Stegostoma tigrinum: one gene and its partner. The protein of the gene in region 2 purifies or fractionates together with the protein of the main gene of each other region. This does not show direct contact. Links are inferred from orthologs where the notes say so. Each region holds a gene or a part of one and is shown on either strand. Other genes may lie near its edges.

Region 1 (10,516 bases), on a different chromosome or scaffold from region 2:
ACTGTGGATACATTATAGTGGTTGCACTGACGATCATCGTTCAAGATTCTAGAGACTCTGGAACAGTTCCCATTGATTGGAGGGTAGTAAGCATAACCCCATTATTTTAAAAAAAAGGGGCCAGAGAGAAAATAGGGAATTACAGAACAGTTGACCCAACATCAGTAGCAAGGAAAATTTTAGAGTCCACCTTAAAAGATTTATTAGCAAAGCTTTCAGAAAAGGGATAGAATCGGGTAAAGCATGGATTTACAAAAGGGAAATCATGCTCAACAAATATGCTAGAATTTTTTCAGAATACATCAAGGCCAAAAGGGTCACTCAGGAAAAGCAGAGCCCCTTAAAGATCAACAAGGCCGTCTATGTGTGGAACCGGAGATGGAGGAGATATTAAATGAAAATTTCAATGTCAATATTTACTATGGAGAAGGATATGGAAACTAGAGAACTTTGAGAAATAAACAGTGATATCTTAAAGTGTCCACATCAGAGAGGTGGTGGTGCTGGATATCTTTAAGCACATAAAGGTGGATAAATCCCTGGGATGTGATCACGTGTATCCCAGAACTTTGCAGGAAGCAATCACTAGGCCCCCTGCTGAGATATCTATCATTAGTAGCCTAAGGGTGGGGTGGGTGGGGTGTGGAAAGAGGAGAGGTAAGACCGGAGGGTGGCTCGCCAACTAGAGAGCAGTGGGCCTGACTTCAGTGATGGCTAAGTTCTTGGAGGGGATTCTGATGGACAGGAAACTTCATTGTGTTTTTCTGAAGTGACAAAGAGAACTGAAGAAGGCAGGGAGGTGGTAATTTACTATATCAATTTTAGCAAAGTGTTTGACAAAGTTCCGCATGGTAGACTGGTTAGCAAAGTTAGCTCACAAGGAGAGCTAGTCATTTGGATACGAGCACGGATGGGGTGAATAACCAAAGTCTCTCCTACCCACTTAGTCTATCACCATTCAGATGATAAAGGGGAAGGGGCAACAAGACCTGGGTTGTATATCAGTCACTGAAAGCAAGCAGTGAAGATAGCTGATGGTATGCTGGCCTTCATAATGACAGGGGAGGTCACTTCTGGAGTACATGTGCAGTTTTGGTCTCCTTCTGGGAGGGTGGATGTTCTAGCTTTGGAGAAGTACAGCAGAGGTTTACCAAATGATTTGTGGGATGGCAGGACTGATGAATGGAGAGAGACGGGGTCCATTACATCTACGTTCACTGACAAGATATATACAGGAAGGATGTTCCCAATGAACAGAGTCCAGAACCAGGGATGCCAGTCTAAGGTTAGAGGGCAAGAAATTTAGGACTGATCTGTGAAAAAAAATTCTTCATCCAAGAAGTGTTGAGCCTGTGGGCTTCTCTGGCACAAAAACAATGGCTTTATGCTTAGGAAATTGTGTCTCACTGAGTGGATTGATTTTTTTGAAGTAACAAAGAGGATTGATGAGGGCACAGCACTGGATATGATCTATATGGACGTCAGTAAGGCTTTCGAAAAGTTCCGCATGGTACACCAATCAACAAAGTTAGATCACATGGAATAGAAAGAGAACTAGCTTTTTGGATATAGAACTGACTCAAAAAAGGTAGAAGACAGGCTGGTGGTGGTAGTGGAAGGTTGCATTTCAGACTGGAGGCCTGTGACCAGCAGCGTGCCACAAAGATCGCTGAAGCGGGTACTGCTTTTTGTCTATAAGTGATTTGGATGTGAACAAAGGAGGTATGGTTAGTAAGCTTGCTGAGGACACCAAAAATTGGGGCAGTAGCAAACAGTGAAAAAGGTTCCATCAAAGTACAATGGGATCTTGATTAGATGGGCTAATGGGCTGAGGAGTGGCAGATGGAGTTTAGTCCCAGGTAGATAGGATAGTAAATGCATTTGGTATGCTTGCCCTTATTGGTCAGTGCATTGAGTAAAGGATTTGGGAAGTCATGTTGCAGCTGTACAGGACATTGGCATGGCCACTTTTGGTATAATGTGCGCAATTCTGGTCTGCTTGCCATAGAATGGATGTGGCAAATCTTGAAAGGGTTCAGAAAAGTTTTAAGAATATTACCAGGGTTTGAGGGTTTCAGCTATTGTAGGAAGCTGAATAGGTTGGGGCTATTTTCCTTGGACCATCAGAGACTGAGGGTTTATAAAATCATGAGGGGCACGGATAAAGTAAATAGGTAAGGTCTTTTTCCCAGGGTGGGGGAGTTCAAAAATAGAAGGCATAGGTTTAAGGTGAGGGGAAAGATTTGAAAGAGATCAAAAGGGGCAACTTTTTCTTGGTAGTGCATACATGGAATGAGGAAGTGGTGGAGGCTGGTACGATTATACCATTTAAAAAGGCATTTGGAGGGGTATATGAATAGGAAGGGTTAGAGGGATACGGGCCAAAATCTGGCAAATGGGACTAGATTTAGATTGGATATAATATGGTTGATATGGACAAGTTAGATCAAAGGGACTCTGTCCATGCTGTACATCTCTAAGACTATTTTCAAGAAGATGTTTGAGACAGTTCTTGTGGCTAAGGGAATCAAAGGGAATGGGAAGAAAGTAGGAACAGAGTACTGAAGGATGCTGAACTGTGGTCATAACAAATGAAGGCGCAAGCCGAGAAGCCAAAGAGTCTGAGATAGTAGGAACTGCCGATGCTGGAGAATCCGAGACAACACTGTATAGAGCTAGACGAACACAGCAGGACAAGCAGCATCAGAGGAGCAGGAAAGCTGATCTTTCGGATCGAGACCCTTCTTCAGAAATGGGGGAGGGGGTTCTGAAATAAATAGGGAGAGAGGGGGGTAGGCAAATAGAAGATGAATGAAGGAGAAGATAGGTGGGGAGAAGATAGGTGGAGAGGAGACAGACAGGTCAAACAGGCGGGGTTGGAGCCAATGAAGGTGAATATAGGTCAGGAGTTAGAGATGAGATAGGTTGGTCCAGGGAGGGTGGACAGGTCAAGGTGGTGGGATGAGGTTGGGGCTTGAGGTGGGAGGAAATGGTTAGGGAGACGGGAACTAGCTAGGCTGGTTTTGGGTTGCGGTAGGGGGAAGAGAAGATTTTGAAGCTTGTGAAGTCCACATTGATACCCTTAGGCTGCAGGGTTCACAAGCAAATGAGATGTTGCTCCTGCAACCTTCGGGTGGCGTCATTGTGGCAATGCTGGAAGTCCAGGATGGACATGTCATCCAAGGGGCGGGAGGGGGAGTTGAAATGGTTCATGACTGGCAGGTGCAGTTGTTTGTTGTGAACTGAGCATAGATGTTCCACAAAGCTGTCTCCAAGCCTCCGCTTGGCTTCCCCGATGTAGAGGAGGCCACATCGGGAACAGTGGATACAGTATACCACATTAGCAAACGTGCAGGTGAACATCTGTTTGATGTGGACGGTCTTCGTAGGGCCTGGGATGGGGGTGAGGTATAGGGACAGGTGTAGCACGTGCTTCGGGTTGCAGGTAAAAGTGCTGGGGGTGGTGGGACCGGAGGGGAGTGTGGAGCGGACAAGGGATTCACGGAGAGACTGGTCCCTCTGGAAAGCAGGGAAGGGTGGGGAGGGAAAAATGTCAATGGTAGTGGGGTCAGATTGCAGATGGCTGAAGAGTCGGAGGATGATGCGTTGGATCTGGAAGTTGGTGGGGTGGTATGCGAGGACGAGGGAGATTCTATTTTGGTTGTTATTGCAGGGAGGGAGTGAGAGGGATGAGTTGTGGGAAATGCAGGAGACACAGTCGAGGGCATTTTCAACCACTGTGGAGGGGAAGTTGTCCTTTTTTTTCCCCCAAGAACCACATCTGGTATGTCCAGGTGTGGAATGCTTCATTACAGGAACAGATGCGGCAGAGGCGAAGGAATTGGGAATAGGGGATGATCTTTTTGCAGGAAGGTGGGTGAGAGGAGTGTATTCTAGGTAGTTGTGGGAGTCAGTAGGTGTGACAAGGTTTTTCAGCAGAAAACTGCTCAATGTCCAAACATGAGTAGTATTCATCGATGTGTGGGTGGAGCCAAAGAGTCTTCCTGGTTCATATTTTCTGTTTCTATGCCTGGTAAAATATTTCACTTTCTAGCCTGGATATTGTCATCAGTTGTCCAAGTTAAGAGCACAGAACTGAAACGAAAATGTCAGTCATTACAGAACACGTTCCATTTTCACCTCAAGACAGCATATTATGATTTTTTAACCCCACCCAATGACCTGAACACAGGTCAAGAGTGACAGACTCTTTCAAGTACTGTTTCATCTTTCAAATGAAATCCTATACTTCATGGACCTGATTGTTCAAAACATTGCCAAATCTCAAAACACCATTTATCCATCATTTCTACGCAACACCTATTTTAAAAAAGTGTGCTCACTTTTCTATTCAACTCCTTCCATACCTCAACAATTACCTCCAACTCTACAAGAGATTTGCAACAAAATATATACTGGTCAAGTGCCCCTCTATCCTTATTCAATTGCCTCAGCTGAATGCTCTGGTATTAACTCACTAAGCACCCCCATTCAATTTATTCGCCTTTCCTTTAAAGAGGCTCCTTAAATTCTACATTTGGCTAAACTTTCAGTCATCTGCCAAAGAGACATGGCTATAATTTTTATAATGCTCCTATGGGATGTTTTCAATACTTTCACTGTGCTATAAATACAAGTTGTTCATTGGTGTCAGACGTTCCAGCATTACATAACAGTGGTCGCAAAATTGCCTGAAACATTCTAATGTAGTGAAAGTGCAAGTCTTCAAAACTAGGATCTTTCACAAAAGTAAAACAAAGAAATACCGATGACGTAGGTCTGAAACAAAAACAAATTGCTGCTGAAAGACAGCATATCTGGCAACATCTGTGATAAGAAAGCAGAGTTAATATTTTGAGTCTAGTTATGATGAGAAGTCACTGGACTTGAAACGTAAACTCCATTTTCTTCCCAGAGTTTCACTAGCAATTTCTGGTTTTGTCTAGGATTTTCCACTCTACCACAGCTTTGTACTAGTATAGCTGATGTCTTTAATTGGCAAGTAACAAGATCCTTTACTCTCTACCAATACAAACAGAATCTCCATCAAACATAGCAAAAGGTCCTGACAGACTAAATCAACAACTAACTGTTCTTAGAAAGATGTTCTTAGAAAGATATTCTCAGTCAACCTAGGTTTAAACTAAGTTATCTAGAAATCTTATGTCCCTTATTTGACACTTAAATAAAAAACAAAACATTAACATAACTTTGCAATTATGTTTAGCACCTTAATTTCATGAAGGTTTCAACTATTCCCATGCAAGCACAGGACGTGACAGATCGTGTTAAAACACATCCATACAGTCCCAAACTGAGATTTGCAACTTTTAAAAAAATAAATAAGTTGTTTAGATAATTTGCCATATTCATTAAGCTAGAAGCTGAATAGTGAACTCAAACTTCACTTTAAAGGAAGTCTAACGATCTACTACTGCACAAAATTGTACTGCATCAGTACGAAAATAGGCTCAATTGGTCTACACGCTACTTGATTTAAAAATTTTAAAAAGGCTGAATATTACTATCGAAAAGAAACAAGTGAAAAGTCTTGGCAAGATCGAGCTGTACAGATTCTTAACAAACAGATCTACGAAAGGATTCAGCGTTAGTAGCAACTACCGATGCTGGAGAATCTGAGATAACAAGGTGTAGAGCCGATGTACACCGCAGGGCAAGCAGTCCAGACCCGAAAACGTCAGCTTTCCTGCTCCTCCGATGCTGCTAGGCCTCCTGTATTCAGCCAGTTCTACACCTTGTTATTTCTACAAAAGGATATTGGCCTGGTCAATTCACGTTTCGACTCAATGAATCCCAAGATACGCGATTTCAGTGCACATATTCAACACATTAACACACGGTGCCCTATTTGATCTGCGTGAACTAACGTATTTAAGAGCCAGTTCGAGCAGCACTGCACCACTTCAGAATTTTCCTTGCGTTTACCTTCCCATCAATCCTGGCGTAGCGCTTCCCATGACCCGGGTATATCTTATACCCACTGAAACTGCACAGTTCGACCCTGAGGAAACAAATAACCAGTCATCACGGTCGCTTATATTAAGGAACTTCATAACTTAACCGCGGATAGAATGACTTTACAGGCAAAAACAGCGGATGAAAGAGGATTAAATTAGCGATTAGACTCACTTCATGACGACAGTTAAGATGGCGCGAGAGAAAAGGAGGATTGTGGGTAAAGCCCTCGCGTTTCCGGAGGGGAGGAGTGGGAAGAAATATAAAACAAATCGCGGCTGCAAAATTAAAACGTATATGTTTGGAGGAAACAGTTTAAACGAATTTGATTGTTTCTCGAAAAAAGGGTGGCGTGTTATTGAGCCCTCACGGAAGCCAATCAGCGAGCGGAGTGGTTGCTTGGCGTTAAGCACGCGGGAAGTTGCTGCATGATGGCGGTTCAGGGCGGAGAGGTTCCTGACATGATGGTTAATACAGATGAGAGTAAGTGCTTGATTGTGATTCTGAGCATCGTATTTGAACCGTCCGATTGTACTGACACGTCGCTGTTTTATTTCCCTTGGGACATACCACTGCTGAAGTCTGGACGGAGGTTGTAGTTGATCACTGATCACTGTAAAGGTGCGGGCGGTGGTCAGAGACTTGTAGCTACAATTCCAACAGACGGCAAGTGTACTCCTTCCCCAAAATGTTCTAACTTTTTATAAGCCTTCTCTTTTCCCCTAATGACACGCGATTCTACCATTTTCTTTTATATTTATTGCCTAGTAACTTAATGTGGATAGGATGCACAAAATAGAAACCGATTATTTGGCCCAACTAACCTATGCTATTATACTTCCCTGCAGCCTTTTCCTAAGCATTCCCACCTAATCTATCGGAAGACCCCTCTGTTACCATTTCTTTATTTATCTAGCCTTCCTCTAGAACGTATGGTGGTCTGCATATGGATATACATCTATTCTTTTAAATCACCCTTGTAGAAATGACTTCCACATTCTCAGACAATCTTTAGTAAGGATTTTTTTTCTACTGATTTCACTTATCAGTTATGCATTTGACGTAGGCTGTAGTTTTTTAGTTACCTGCAAGTGGAACTGTTCTGTGTTCACTTTGTCAAAATCTTTAATTTTAAAGACCTCAATTTCTTCAACCCTCAGCCTCTTTTCAGAAGGAAAAAAAATCCAGCCTACAGATAGTATAGCCTCCTGTATCTGCTAACATCTTCCGAACCCATTTTGCATTTTGTCTCCTGCCTTGCTGTCATTTTGTAATGTACTAGAATTTGATGTGCTTCAGCTGTGAAGTTACAAATTTTGATAGATGGTTAGTGTAACTTTTTCTTTCAATTCTGCCCCTCTTAAAAAAGTACTCCACTTACCTAGATTTAATGACCACCTTAGTGTCTATCACTATTTTTTGTATGGCCAAATTATTTTGCCCCTTTGCTCTAATTAGATGCTTCTTTTCCAAGTAAAATGCATTTCCTTATTTTTCTTTCTGAAATACAATACCTCATCTGGAGTTTAGAAGAATGAGATCTAGTTAAGGCATGTAAGATGCCTTAGGACATTGACAAAGTATACATAAAAAGGATATCCCCTCGTGTGGGGCAATCTAGAATAAGAGATTGTTGTTTTACAATAAGGAGAAACAAATGAGGTGAAATTGCTTCCCTCTAAGGATCATAAGTTTGAGGAATTCAGTACTCCAGAGTGCAGTGGATGCTGGAACATTGAATAAATTTAAGGAAAACTTTAATTAGTGATGGGTTGAAGGATTATGGAGAGTGGTCAGGAAAGTGGAATTGAGCCTGAGATGAGATCAGCCATGATCATACCAAATGGCCCACTCCTCCTTGTTCTTATGCTCTTGTGTGTTTTTATTGGTGATGAACTTCATTTGCCAATTAAATTTAAAATCTTGTAACTTGTTGCAATTTGAGAAAGAACTTGAATTTGTATAGTGTCTTTCATAACCTCAGCACAGCCCAAAACATCTTCCTGCTAATTAAATACTTATTTTACTATAGTTCCTGCTGCAAAATAAGAAATGCAGGGTGGCCAATGTGGTACTGCAATCTCTTTCTAATGGAAACCTGCTGATCAGAAATTTGGTTTAATCGTTAAACTTGAATATGACACAAACAAACCAGTCAGACAGTATCTATACTGAAAGGCCATCTAAACAAATTTCTATCTATTCATTAACACTGCACAGAAGAGCATTAATTGGATTTAGAGCATCCACTCTGAAAGATGGCACTTCTGTGCAGTACAGACGGAGTGGTGTACTGTCCGGAGTGTCAGCACAGTTTATCTACACTCTCACTGAGCAAAATGGGAACCCTCAAACCTCTAACTTAGACAAGGTGTTTCCATTGAGTATTGTTTCTATTGCTTCCTTGGGTGACAAAGGTGACGTTTAAGTGAGAGGAATATAGTAATTGGGAGCAAGCTTATATAGCAGAAAGTGCCGGATCTGCTGTGCAGTACAATTGTGGTTGATCTTTGGTCGTAGTATTTTCTTGCAAGACTCCTATCTCCCTTGATGATCAAAGAGATCAAAAATTTGTCTATCTCAGCCTTTAATTATGTTCAATAATAGAGTATCCACAACTCATTGTGTAGAAAATTCCAATAATTTACTGTCTTTTGAGTGAAGAAATTTCTCTTCATCTCAGTCCTAAATGATTGTCCCATTGTCCTGAAACTGTGATCCCATCTTCCTAGATTCTCCAGACAGGAGAAATAAGCGTGTTCCGACGCTGTCAACTCCATCAAAATCTTGAATTTTTTTTGAGATTTACCTCACTTTTTTTTCCCCTAAACTCTGGAGAATATTACACCAGTTTACTCAGTCCCTCATCAAAGGATAGCCTTATCATCCCAGGACCCTTTGAGTACTGCCTCCAATGCAAGGATATCATTCTTTAAATACAGAGACCAGAACTGCACAAAGTATTACAGGTATGATTTCACTAAACTCCTATCCAAAAACTGGAAATAATTAGGTAAATGAGACAATTGGGTTGAAAGAAGTCTTCAAAGAAATCAATTAGTTTACAGGATGACTTGGTTCCAGAAACCCTGGAGATACTGGATTGAAAAATGTTCGTATACATAAATGTAATAATCTAGGCATAAACTGGTCTCATTTGGAATTACACCAACTGGATTTTCCTGGATTAGTACAGCTTTGTCAATATCCAAGAAGCTCACCTGATCAAGCAGGCAGCTTGATCGGAGTTCTGTCTACCACTGTAAATATTCACTACTTTGACTACCAACACACAATGCATAACAGTTTGCATCATCCACAAGATGCATTTGGGCAACTTATAAGGTTCTTTCAACAGCATGTTATAAACCATACCACTAGATGGAAGATAATAAAATGTGAGGCTGGATGAACACAGCAGGCCAAGCAGCATCTCAGGAGCACAAAAGCTGACGTTTCGGGCCTGGACCCTTCATCAGAGAGGGGGATGGGGGGAGGGAACTGGAATAAATAGGGAGAGAGGGGGAGGCGGACCGAAGATGGAGAGTAAAGAAGATAGGTGGAGAGGGTGTAGGTGGGGAGGTAGGGAGGGGATAGGTCAGTCCAGGGAAGACGGACAGGTCAAGGAGGTGGGATGAGGTTAGTAGGTAGCTGGGGGTGCGGCTTGGGGTGGGAGGAAGGGATGGGTGAGAGGAAGAACCGGTTAGGGAGGCAGAGACAGGTTGGACTGGTTTTGGGATGCAGTGGGTGGGGGGGAAGGGCTGGGCTGGTTGTGTGGTGCAGTGGGGGTAGATGGCAGCAGATGCATAGAAATGCCATCGCTTGCAATTTCCCCTCCAAACCATGCTACATCATAACTTGAAAAACTATATTGTCAGTCCCTCACTGGTGGAGAATCAAAATCCTGGAATTACCTTCCTAATACTAAAGTTATACACCGCTGATGGGCTACAGTAATTCAGGAAGGCAGCTCAGTCCCACTTTCTTTAGGGCAGTTAGGAAGGGGTAAAAAACATTGGTCTTTCAGTGATGGGTCAATATTCCAAGCATGAATTAGAAAATGCTGTTAAGCGAGGAGGAAAACAACATTGTTGGTGACTTTGTTATTCATGCAGTTCTTCCCTCAGAAGGTCAGAAATAGGGGTGTTCTCTGGTTGCACAAGGTTCAGCACTGTTCAGACTTCTCAGATATTGAGTAGTCGATGTCCAAATGCAGCAAGATGTAGACAACGTCCAAGCTTCCCTCTGATAAATGGCAAGTAACATTCCTGCCAGGTAACGACAATCTCTAAGTTGAGACTATCTCTCGCTGTCTCAACTCTCCACAGCCTGTCCACCACCTACAAGGCACAAGCAAGGACTTATACTTCATAATGCTCACTCTCATTAAAATAGAAAAAGAATCTTTCAAAGCCTCCCTGAAGCACATTCGGTTGTTATTTGGATTAGTCCATTATTCTTCTAGGAAGCAGTCATGCAGACCCTATTAAAATCTAATGAAATCTGCCAAGAATAACCAAAAATCATGAACAATAGCTCC
Region 2 (10,819 bases):
ATTCAAGGCTATAAGGCTGGCGAAGCTGCTAGTGCATTTTTTGTGGTACAGACTTGATGGATTGAGGGGCCTCTCCTGTACTGTATGGTTCTATGATACTCTTCTTAAAGAAATATTTCACATTTTGATAAGTGAAAGGATTCTTGAATGAAATAAATATTTGTGCAGCTCCACAATAATATTGTGTGTGGATGGCATCAATGGCAAAGTCCTGAACGTAGCGATTTGATCTTTAGCTGCAAGATGGGAGACAATTCTCCAATACTTTAAACAGCACAAAAACCATAGAAAGCCATTCCATTAAATGAACATAGGTCAGTCACAGTGATGTTAACCAGGTCATTCAGACATAGCGAATGTCTTGACGTAACTCAAAATTTAGTGCATACTACAAGTACCAGAAAAGTAAATTAATTGATAACCATTCTATTGCAATCTTTTTCCCAGTCATTTTTATCCTGAAAAAGGTGAGAGGCAATGTATTTTGGGAAGATTAACAAGACAAAAGGAGCACACACTGAAGTGAAGCACCCAAAGAAGCTTAGAGGGTACTTCCTCTTTGCAGCGGACCAAAGTCCCCAGATCCTTGAAGGCAAAGGGGCAGGTAGGTAAGGTGATTAAGGCAGCATATGTGATACTCGCCTTTGCTAGCCAAAGTGCCAAAACAGCAAGGAGGTTATGAATGGAACTGTATGAGACATGAGTTAAGCCACAGCTGGAGTCTTATATAGAGCTCTGGTCACCACACTAATAGAATGTGATTGTGCTAAAAAGGGTTCAGAACAGATTCTTCAGAATGTTGCTTGGGCTGGAGTGATTCAACCATGAAGACAGACTAGATATGCTGGGATAGTTTTTCTTCAAGCAGAGAAGGCTGATGGGAATGGGTACAGAAAGGTAAATAGGGAAAAACTTTTCCTCAGAGTAGAAGGGCCAAGAACAATGAGGGACTGTTTTAAAGTAAGGAGCAGGAGTTTAGAAGGGATCTAAGGTAAACTTTTTCCACTCTGAACTCACTGCTGAAAAGGGTGGTAAAAGCAGGAACCCCAAAATCACAGAAGTCCATTTGGCCCGTCGAGTCTGCATTGCCCCTCCCACCCCTCCCAGATCCACCCTCACATTCCATCCCTGTAACCCTGTATGGAATTTTTTTTACCATGGCTAAAACCACCAATCCTGCATATCCCTGGACAGTACAAGATAATTTTTTTTAGCATGGCCAATCCAGCTAACCCTTGACATTTAAAAGCTATGTAGATGAGCGCTTGAAATAACACAGCTACAGGGCTATAGGCCAAGTGCTATAAAACAGGACTACAATAGACTGATGTTTCGTGACTGGTGTGGATGCAATGAGACTTTTATCATGCTTTAAAACTTTACATTTCAATAAAAGGCAAATGCCAAAAACTTCACTTAAATTTCAACCATGTAAAACACAATTCATGATAGCCAAAAGTGTCTGATTTTGTTACATTGAATACCTGAACAACTGGGGATCGAATCTGCAGGACTGCCAACTTCTGGTCTGCTGATGCGTAAACTGCAATATAGTAATGTGTAACACAAAAGGTTAGGGGGGAAAGATTCAAGTTTTGGTGTTATAGGAATCAATTAACAGACTTCATCCTCAAGAATATTAAAAACTCTTACCAGAATATCAAGTTTTATTTCAAAACCAGAAACTGCATTCTTACTGGAGGCAATTATAATTAATATAAGCCAACTAGTTGCATGCTTTCCAATGCCAGCTATGTTATGCGAGCAGGGCTACTGAGAAATAAAGACTTGCATTTATACAGGACTAGAAGAACAGAAGCAGGACCACAGATTCAGAAAGTCATTCAACCACTTGGGCCTATTCCATCAGTTAGATCGTAGCTAATCTGTACCTAACTCCATCATCTACTCTCATTCTATATCCTTGAATACTAGTGATACAATGTTGGAAATCAATCTCAGTTTTAATATTGATTAATCTAGCTGCAACAGCTATTGCTTTAACAGGAAGGGAAAGAAAGAATATTTGAAATTTCTACTACTGTTTGTGAATGAAACACATGTCACACATGCGGAGCCCAGTTCTAATTTGAAGGTTGCATTCCTTTCATCTGGGTTGGCCCGTAGAAGAACTGGTTTTCTATTGCAAAAATTATTTTTCTGTATTCTCATTTTGGACTGAAATGGGAAAAAGACTTCTTTAAAATTAAGGACTGTGGAAGAGATTGCTGCATAAAAATTAATCAGCTACTGTAGTCTTCAAATACAGGTTCACACAAATTACTGTCATCTGCCTTCTTGTTGTTGGCACAATGAACTTAAAAGGGGGAACAAAGGCATGGTAGTAACGATATTTGATTAGCCAGAACCCTTGACGAATGTTTTTAATATTATCTCTGTGCTGGAGAAACAGAGAAGGTCTTGCAACGTCTGTGGAGTGAATGCTTCTATTGCTTTAGAGACATGGGATCAACTTCGAGCACAACAGATGGGAAATTGAAAATTGAATCAATAAATCCATAATAATATATTAGTCTCATTAATAAATGCTCATAAACTACATGGTTATTGAACCAGAAGAGTCTTATGTCAATGACCTACAGTGAAGGCAATATGCCATCCTTACCTAGTACGACCTACACATGACTCCAGATCCACAGCAACGTACTTCGCTCTGAAATGATCTAGTTTCTTGAGTAATTTGGGATAAGAAATAAACACTGGCCTTGCTAGTGATACTCATATCCAAAAACCAAATGGAAAAAAAGCTTTGCTACACTTCAAAGGGATAATTAAGTAAATAAAACTGCAATAAGAATTTTGAAGACAGGTTAAAGACCATTGAGTGTTTAAGTAGCTTTTCATCAGACAACACATCATCAGTGGACAATCATTAACATGCAATTGCCAATGACATCTTAACTCTTTCTCTGAACACATCCAACTGTTTCACAAAGACTTGTGCCATTTCTTATAGTGTACAACTTTGCCTTATAAAAGGGCCAACTTCATTTAAACTTTTATTACGTAGTGTTTTAATTACTGATGAGAGTGAACAATTTGCCTCAAATCAGATTCATTTATCTCTTTCACAAACTTTTAAAAACTCCCTGAAAGTACCTGGTTTCTGCCCCTGCACAACACTAAAATGACTTTATTAATCAATCACAGTTGCAAAGGACAGATTACATATTCATGATCACATTGTACAATCCCTCCTCATTCTTCTTGAGCAGTCTACAGCCTTTCATGCTACTGACCACAATCTGGCCTTGCTGGATGGAACGATTATCACTTTTCTAATTATATCTAGGGCACAACCCCCAAATATCTCCGGAATTCTTGAGGATTGAACCTTGGATTTTTGTTTTCTAAATGTAAATTCCTAGATATATTATATCAGAGTTTTTCACACTTTTACCCTCTCACTCACCTTCAGAGCTGACACACATTTCTGTTGAGTTCTCCAAAGTTGTTGCATATGGATTGTTTCCCACCACCGGAAGGAGGCAGTCACTGTGGATATAACCAACCCTTGGTAATGTGAGTGTAGAAATGATCAGATCCACCGTTAGCTGACCAACATTACCCACAGACACAACTGGCTGGAACATCAAAAAGCTCAGTTATTTAAAAGTTACGTGTTCACTGCATTCTGCCACATGACTAACTTGATCTTTTGTGGTTCCACAGAAACAACACACAAGAGTAAGACTTTGGCCATACCTTATTTTAAATGCATTGGAAATTTTTTTTTTTTAAAATGTACATATTCATGTGGTGTTCGCTGCATCTTCCTCCTCATTTTCATCCACCCATAGTAGACTTGATATTGAGAAAGGTTTAGGAATGATTCACATCATGATAATATTCCATAGTCCTGTTTTAGACTAACAAGTTCTAGTTGGGCTGAATAGCAAGTATCCACACTGGCCAGGCTGTCATTGCAAATATCATCTTCCAAGCTCCCTTTGCTCTCCTAAAGTGTTGTCAACTCCCAGATCAGTGGCCATCTTGCCTGCAACTCCAGGTTTGCAACATATTCAAATGGCCTTTACCAAAGTCACAAAACAGAAATTATATACCTGTGACTGTAGTGCCTAATTCTTTCCCATCCTTCTCAAGCAGTCTTCAGCCTCAAACTCATATTTATGGTGCACAAGGAGGCCATTTGGCATCATTGTGTCCTCAAAGATCTGATCCCACTAATCCCATTTCCTAGCTTATGGACCAAAGCTCTGGAAACTATGGCAACACAAGTGAATATCTAAAGAATGAGTTTTGGACTCAAAAACCCTTTCAGATAGTTAGTTCTAGACAACCTTTATTCTATCCACCAATGATTTCTCATACGGTCTCTTGGTTTCATAATCTCCTTTTTAAGTTTCATATTTCTCTAGGGGCTCTTCTGTATTGAACATTCAGTACCTGCTGTAGGCTTCATTTTTTTAAAAATTCTAACCTTTATGAACCTTGACATCTAGGTTTCTCTGATCTTGTTCCCATCTGTTGTCTTTAACATATTTGCCACGTACACTCACTTTCTCCTACATGATTGCCAGTGGTGGGAAGGAATCTTAGCCACAAGTAACTGTGTCCCATGTAAAAGCCTTTCATGCAATTGACCACTTCCCACATCTCTAGCAATACCTTCAGAATCCCTTGAGGATGCACAACTCACCCCAATTTGCCACACACTGATGTCATCCTTTGAGGAGAGGAAGAGGACGAAAACTAGGAGCAACACGTTACATCTGCAAGAAATCAGGTCAAGTAGATCCATGTAGGAGGACAAGGCCAATGTAGGTGCAACCCCAGCATGAGTCTACAGTACAGCGAAGTCCACATCTTCAACAGTTCCCATAAACCGTGCTAAAGGCACACTTTACACAGAATGAAATGACACTGAACTTAGCAGCATGGCAACAGGCCATTTGGCTTAATTGGTTTATACTATTCAGAGGCCTCTCTCAGACCTTGGCCACTCATCTAGCAAGTCAAAGAGTAAACGCCAAGAAGGTATTTCGCCTTGCAAGAGAGTCTAACAGCAGAGGACATGGACTCAGAATAAAAGGGAGCCAATTTAAAACTGACATGAGGAGGAATTTCTTCCTTCACAGGGTTGAGTCTTTGGAACTCCTTGCCACAGAAGGCTATGGGGGTAAGAGTCCTCGTGTATATTTAAGACTGAGATCGATAGATTTGTGACCAGTTGGGGAAAATCAAGGGTTATGGCAAAGAGGCAGGAAAGCGGACTTGAGAAATGCCAGACATAGTAGGAACTGCAGATGCTGGAGAATCCGAGATAACAAGGTGTAGAGCTGGATGAACACAGCAGGCCAAGCATCATCAGAGGAGCAGGAACAGGAAAGCTGACATTTCGGGCCTAGACCCTTTATCAGAAAGAAGACGACCCTTCTTCTGAAGAAGGGTCTCGACCCGAAACGTTAGCTTTCCTGCTCCCCTGAAGCTGCTTGGCCTGCTGTGATCATCCAGGTCTACACCTTGTTATCTCTTGAAAAACGTCAGATCAGCCACGATCCTACTAAACAATGAAGCAGAGATAGTAGGAACTGCAGATGCTGGAGAATCCGAGATAACAAAGTGTGGAGCTGGATGAACACAGCAGGCCAAGCAGCATCAGAGGAGCAGGAAAGCTGACGTTTCAGGCCTAGGACCTTCTTCAGAATGGAGGCGGGGAAGGGCCCGAAATGATGCTGCTTGGCCTGCTGTGTTCACCCAGCTCTACACCTTGAATGGTGAGGCAGGTTCGAGACGCCGAGTGGCCTGCTCCAGTTCCTATTTCTTATAACTGTTCAGTTACCTACCATGACCAGAGTGTAGCCTTTCAGGCTTACGGAGCCATTCCCACTCGGAACGAAAACCGTCTCCATTCCACCACCTGAATTCCTTCAACCGCTAGGCGCTTTCTGATGACGTTCCCTCTTCCCAGACACGGGGTGGGCAATACATTGAGAGCGTCGCAAAATTGCGAGGCATGGGCGCACGAGCGTTGTTTTTCTTAAAATCGCACTTATTATAGGCAGCAACTAGCTACAGCTGTGCTTTGCAACGTTGAGCGATCAAATCCAGTTGTTGCAGATTTTTTTAGCATTGTGCCAGACAGTTGAACGGGCAAGCGCGAGGTGAAATTCCCGCTTCGTTTTCAAGCCTTCAAACTTAGAGCGCGAGCCGTGAGCCGATGAAGGGGCGGGGCTTGAAATATTGTGGGGGCGGGGGGCTTTGTCGTAATCAGTGTGAGGCTGGCCTGGGTGGTTGTCTAGCAGAGTTGGTGAGTGCGGTTACGGGGTTGAAACGCTGTCGGTTTGGTCTTTTGGAAACATGAAGTTGCTGGAAAAGGTCTGGCCGCACCTGTGAACAAAAACATCACAGAATTAACGTGTCGGTTCTCTTTCCGTTTTTATGTGGTGTTTTGGAGGTGTGCGCAGTTCGATGTCCGTCAGTAAGAGGGCGGGGCCTAATGGCCGTTGGTGGGATGGTGCGTTGCTGTGTTTGGGTGGTGGCTGCAGTTGCTACTGGAGATAAGGGCGGGGCTAGATGCTGATTGGAGGGTGGTGATAGGCGGGGCTTGAGGGCTGTTGGGAGGAAGGGGTGGTGTTTGTCGACTGCAGAGACGGTTGGCTGGCGGCGAGTTGTTTTTGTGTTGGGCTGCTGGTTGTGCATGTTGATAAACCCTGGTAAAACGGTCCCTAGCGCTATGTCGCTGCCGCCAGAAAAGGCTTTGGAACTCAAGCAAATCATTCACAATCAGCTGACCCAGGTGAGCTCTCACCGCGTCCAGCCTCGGGCTGGGGCCTTGATGTCGCCCAAGATGCGTGAGGCCGCCGTCCATATCCCAGATTATGTCTAATCAGCTACAACAATAATGGTTAACTTTTTAGCTCTTGACCTCTTTTTACGAGTTGCATTTCATAATAATTTAACCTGTTGAGTTATGATCTTTGAATGAGAGCAAATACTATGGATCTGAAATAATAGGAGAAAACGTGCGAAATCTGTGTAAAGCAAAATGCAGCATCTGTGTAAAGCCAGAAACAGTTCATGTTAACTGTTTACCTCTTTGTAGATTTAATATACAAATCATGAGCAGAAGTAGGCCATTCAGCCCTTCGAGCTGTTCTGCCTGCTCCAATAAGATCATGACTGCCTTGAAAACATTTAAGAACTCTATTCAACTGCCTTTTGATGAACAGAGGATCACAGACTCCTGTCTCTCTTTGAGAAAGCATTTCTACTTATCTTTGTTTTGAATGGATAACCCTGTATTTTTAAATAGTGACTTGTAGATCTAGATTCTCCTTTCCACATACACTTGGAATACCATCCAAAACTATGAGCTAAGTGTTGGAAAGTGGGACTAGAATAGATGGATTAGTGCAGACTCATTGGGCAAAAGGGCCTGTTTCTGTGTTGTAAATCTATGACTGTGACCTGTCAAGAGCCGTCAACATTGCGTATGCTGGCTAAATTTGCTCATGATGCCGCTAGGTAAGAAAGTAAGTTGTGAAGAAGGTATTAGGAGCCTTCAGAGGGATATAGGTTGTGAGTGGGAAATTATCTGATACATGGAACATAGAACAGCACAGCACAGGAATGGCCCTTTGGTCCATAGTGTGCCAAATATGATGCCAAATTAAAGTTATTCCTTTTGCTTGCACTTGTCCATATCTCTCTCCCCCCCCCCCCCATTCCATGCATATTCATGTGCTTATTTAAAATTTCCATAAATGCCCCTATTGTACATGTCTCCACCATCACCTTGGCAGCACGTTCTGGACTCTTACCACACTATTAAAAAGAGAATACAACTTTGCCTCTCGCATCTCCTTTGAACTTTTCCCTGTCACCTTAAATACATGCCCCCTCGTATTAGACATTTCAGTTCTCGGGGGGGGGGGTGTGGAAAGATTCTGACTGTCAACCCTATGTATGCATCTCATCATTTTATAGACTTCTGTCAAGTCTCTGCTCAGCCTTTGCCACTCCAGAGAAAACAGCCCAAGTTTTACTATCCTTTCCTCGTACCCTCTAATCCAGGAAGCATCCGCAAAAATCTCTTGTGCACCCTCTCCAAAGCGTCCACATCCTTCATGTAGTTTGACAACTAGAATTATGGCCTAACCAAAATCTTCTAAAGCTGCAACATGACATCATGACTGTTGCACTCCATTCCCTGATCAACAAAAGCAAGCATGCTTTACAATGCTAGCTCCTTGTGTGGCCATTTTTGGGGAGTTATGGCCTTTAACCCCCCAAGATCCAGTGCTGTTCAGGGTCCTCCCATTAGCTACACTTTTTCCTAACGTTTGATCTTCCAAAAATATAGCATCTGGATTAAACTCCATCTGCCATTTCTCTGACTATATCTCTGCAACTGATCTATATCCCGCTGTATCCTTTGAAAATCTTCTACATTGCCCATAACTCCAGTGATATTTTTTTTTGTATCATCTGTAAACTTACTAACCCATCCATCTACATTTTCGTCCAAGTCATTTATATATATCACAAACAGCAGGCATCCCAGTATGGATCCCTACTGAACACCAACATTCGTGGACCGCTAGCCAGCAAAACACCCTCCCACTGCTACCCTCTTGCCTTCCATGGACAAGCCAGTTCTGAATCTAAGCAGCCAAGTCACTGTGGATCCCATGCATCTTAATCTTCTGGATGAGTCCCATCAGGGACCTTGTCAAAAGCTTTATTAAAATCCATATAGACAATATCTACTGCTCTACCTTATCGATCACCTTTATCAACACCTCGAAAAATTCAATCAAGTTAGTGAGATATGACCTGCTAGGCACAAAGTCGTGCTGACTGTCCCTAACTAGGCCATGCTTTTCCAAATAAATGTAAATCCTAACCCTAAGAATTCTCTCCAATAGCTTCCTATCCACCAATGTGCAACTTACTGGTCTGTGGTTTCCTGGATTATCCTTGTTTCCCTTCTTGAACAGAGGAACAACATTAGTTATTTGTTCTCTGTTCTCACATACAATCTGAGAATTTTTTGGCAGAAAGATAAAGAAGCATGATATCTAAGTAGTGAGAGGTTGCAGAAAGATCCGGGTGTCCTAGTGTGAGAATCACAGGTGGTTAATATGCAGTAACCAGGCAAATAATCAGGAAAGCAGATAACGTGTTTTATTGCAACGGGAATTGTATGTGAGAGTAGAGGAGTTGTGCAGGGTACTGGTGAAACTACATCTGGAGTACTGTGTACAGTACTGATCACTGTAGTTTTGAACTGGTGTTAATGCATTGGAAGCCGTTCATAAAAGGTTTACTGGACCAATACTTGGAATGAGCCAATTCCCTTTGAGGAAAGGACGGACAGGTTCAGCCTGTAACTGGAGTTTAGAAGTATCAAGGTGATTTGAATCTTAAAGGATCTTGACCAGCGGATGTCAAAAACATGTTTTCTCGTGTGAGAATCAGGAACTAGAGGTCACAATTTAAAAGTAAAGAGTCATCCATTTAGGGACAGAGATGAGGGGGGTTGGTTGGAAGAAAAAACAGGGTTGAGAGTCTTTGAAGTTCCATTCCTCAAATGGCAGTCAACAGAATCTTTAAATATTTTCAAAAGCAGAGGGAAATAGCTTCTTTATTACCAAGGGGATGAAACGTTATTGGAGTATGCAAGAATGTTGAGTTGAGGTTAACATCAGATCAAACATGAGCTTCTTGAATGGTGGATCAAACTTGAAATGGCCTGCACTTTGAATATTTTAATCAGGTTGCCTCTTCATTTACATCCTTAAATAAGGAGAGCAATGCTCCAGATCTGGTTTCACCAATACCCTGTATAATTGAAGTATAAACTCCTACTTTTCTATTCATTTCCTGTACAACAAAACATGTATATATTCTATCAGTTTTCCTAATAATTTAACTTGCATTATAACTGTTTGCAATTCATAACTAAAGCAGCCAGGTCCCTCTGCATTCCAAAGCTCTGCAATCTCACACCTTTTTTATTCTTCCTGCCAAAACAGACAAATCTTTATTTCCCAAGTTTTCATCCATTTGCTTAATCACTGTATGTATAATGTATATTCCCTTTATATTCATCAGTTCCCCTTTATCCAAGCATGTTACTTCCTCAAATAATCCATTCTGTCTGATTACTTTGAACTTTTCTTAGTATTCTGCTATTGTGCTTTGATAATAGCTTCTAACAGCTTCCTATAACACGTTAAGCTAACTGACTTGTAGTTTCCTGCTTTGATGCTTTCCCTTTTCAAGTAACTGAGTTATATTTGCTATTTTATATTTAATGAAAGTTTAAATTAACACCTCACTGTCTCAACGACTACTTTTCAGATTCTAGGCTGAAGAGTTTTAGGACCAAGGAACTTGTCAGTCCACAGCTCCAACAATTTGCTCAGTAACATTTAGATTAACATTTGAGCAAGGAAAAGGTCATTGACCTAGAATGTTAACTCTGTTTCTGTTTCACTGATATATGATAAACCTGTTGAGTATTTACAATATTTACTGTTTTTTATTTTAAATTATAATTTTGTTCTGTATGTCCACTCTTCCTACTGATTGCAGAGCCTTGAGAGACAGTGTTTTTTTTCTCCCTGGTAAATCTGAATGTGGTCCTAACTGTGGGAGAACTCTGGGTAGCTGCATAGACTCTACTCAGCAAGACTTGTCAATGGTCACTTCTGCCAAATCAGAGCAGCATGAAGTAGCTTCTGCCTTGTTGATTCCTTTTGCATTGACTAGACAAAGCTCAGAAACATGGGACTAAAACCCTGCCAGAAATAGAGCAGCAGCCCCCTCC

The links. The genes of interacting proteins can lie anywhere in the genome.
Region 1: the proteins of cep76 (region 2) and cep97 purify together in Homo sapiens (co-immunoprecipitation; 4 studies listed by BioGRID and IntAct, with this or other methods). This does not show direct contact. The link is inferred for Stegostoma tigrinum from reciprocal best matches to the Homo sapiens genes CEP76 and CEP97.

The regions. Positions count from the first base shown.
Region 1 is NC_081365.1:30,102,367-30,112,882, forward strand, and holds the start of cep97 (centrosomal protein of 97 kDa), read left to right. Parts: upstream 1-6,232; 5' UTR 6,233-6,404; coding exon 6,405-6,459; intron 6,460-10,516. Other genes in the region: rpl24 (large ribosomal subunit protein eL24), read right to left, coding at 5,947-6,022, 6,151-6,155. UniProt on the Homo sapiens protein: Acts as a key negative regulator of ciliogenesis in collaboration with CCP110 by capping the mother centriole thereby preventing cilia formation. Required for recruitment of CCP110 to the centrosome.
Region 2 is NC_081358.1:117,631,106-117,641,924, reverse strand, and holds the start of cep76 (centrosomal protein of 76 kDa), read left to right. Parts: upstream 1-6,611; 5' UTR 6,612-6,682; coding exon 6,683-6,781; intron 6,782-10,819. Other genes in the region: psmg2 (proteasome assembly chaperone 2), read right to left, coding at 1,485-1,543, 3,434-3,605, 5,829-5,894. UniProt on the Homo sapiens protein: Centrosomal protein involved in regulation of centriole duplication. Required to limit centriole duplication to once per cell cycle by preventing centriole reduplication.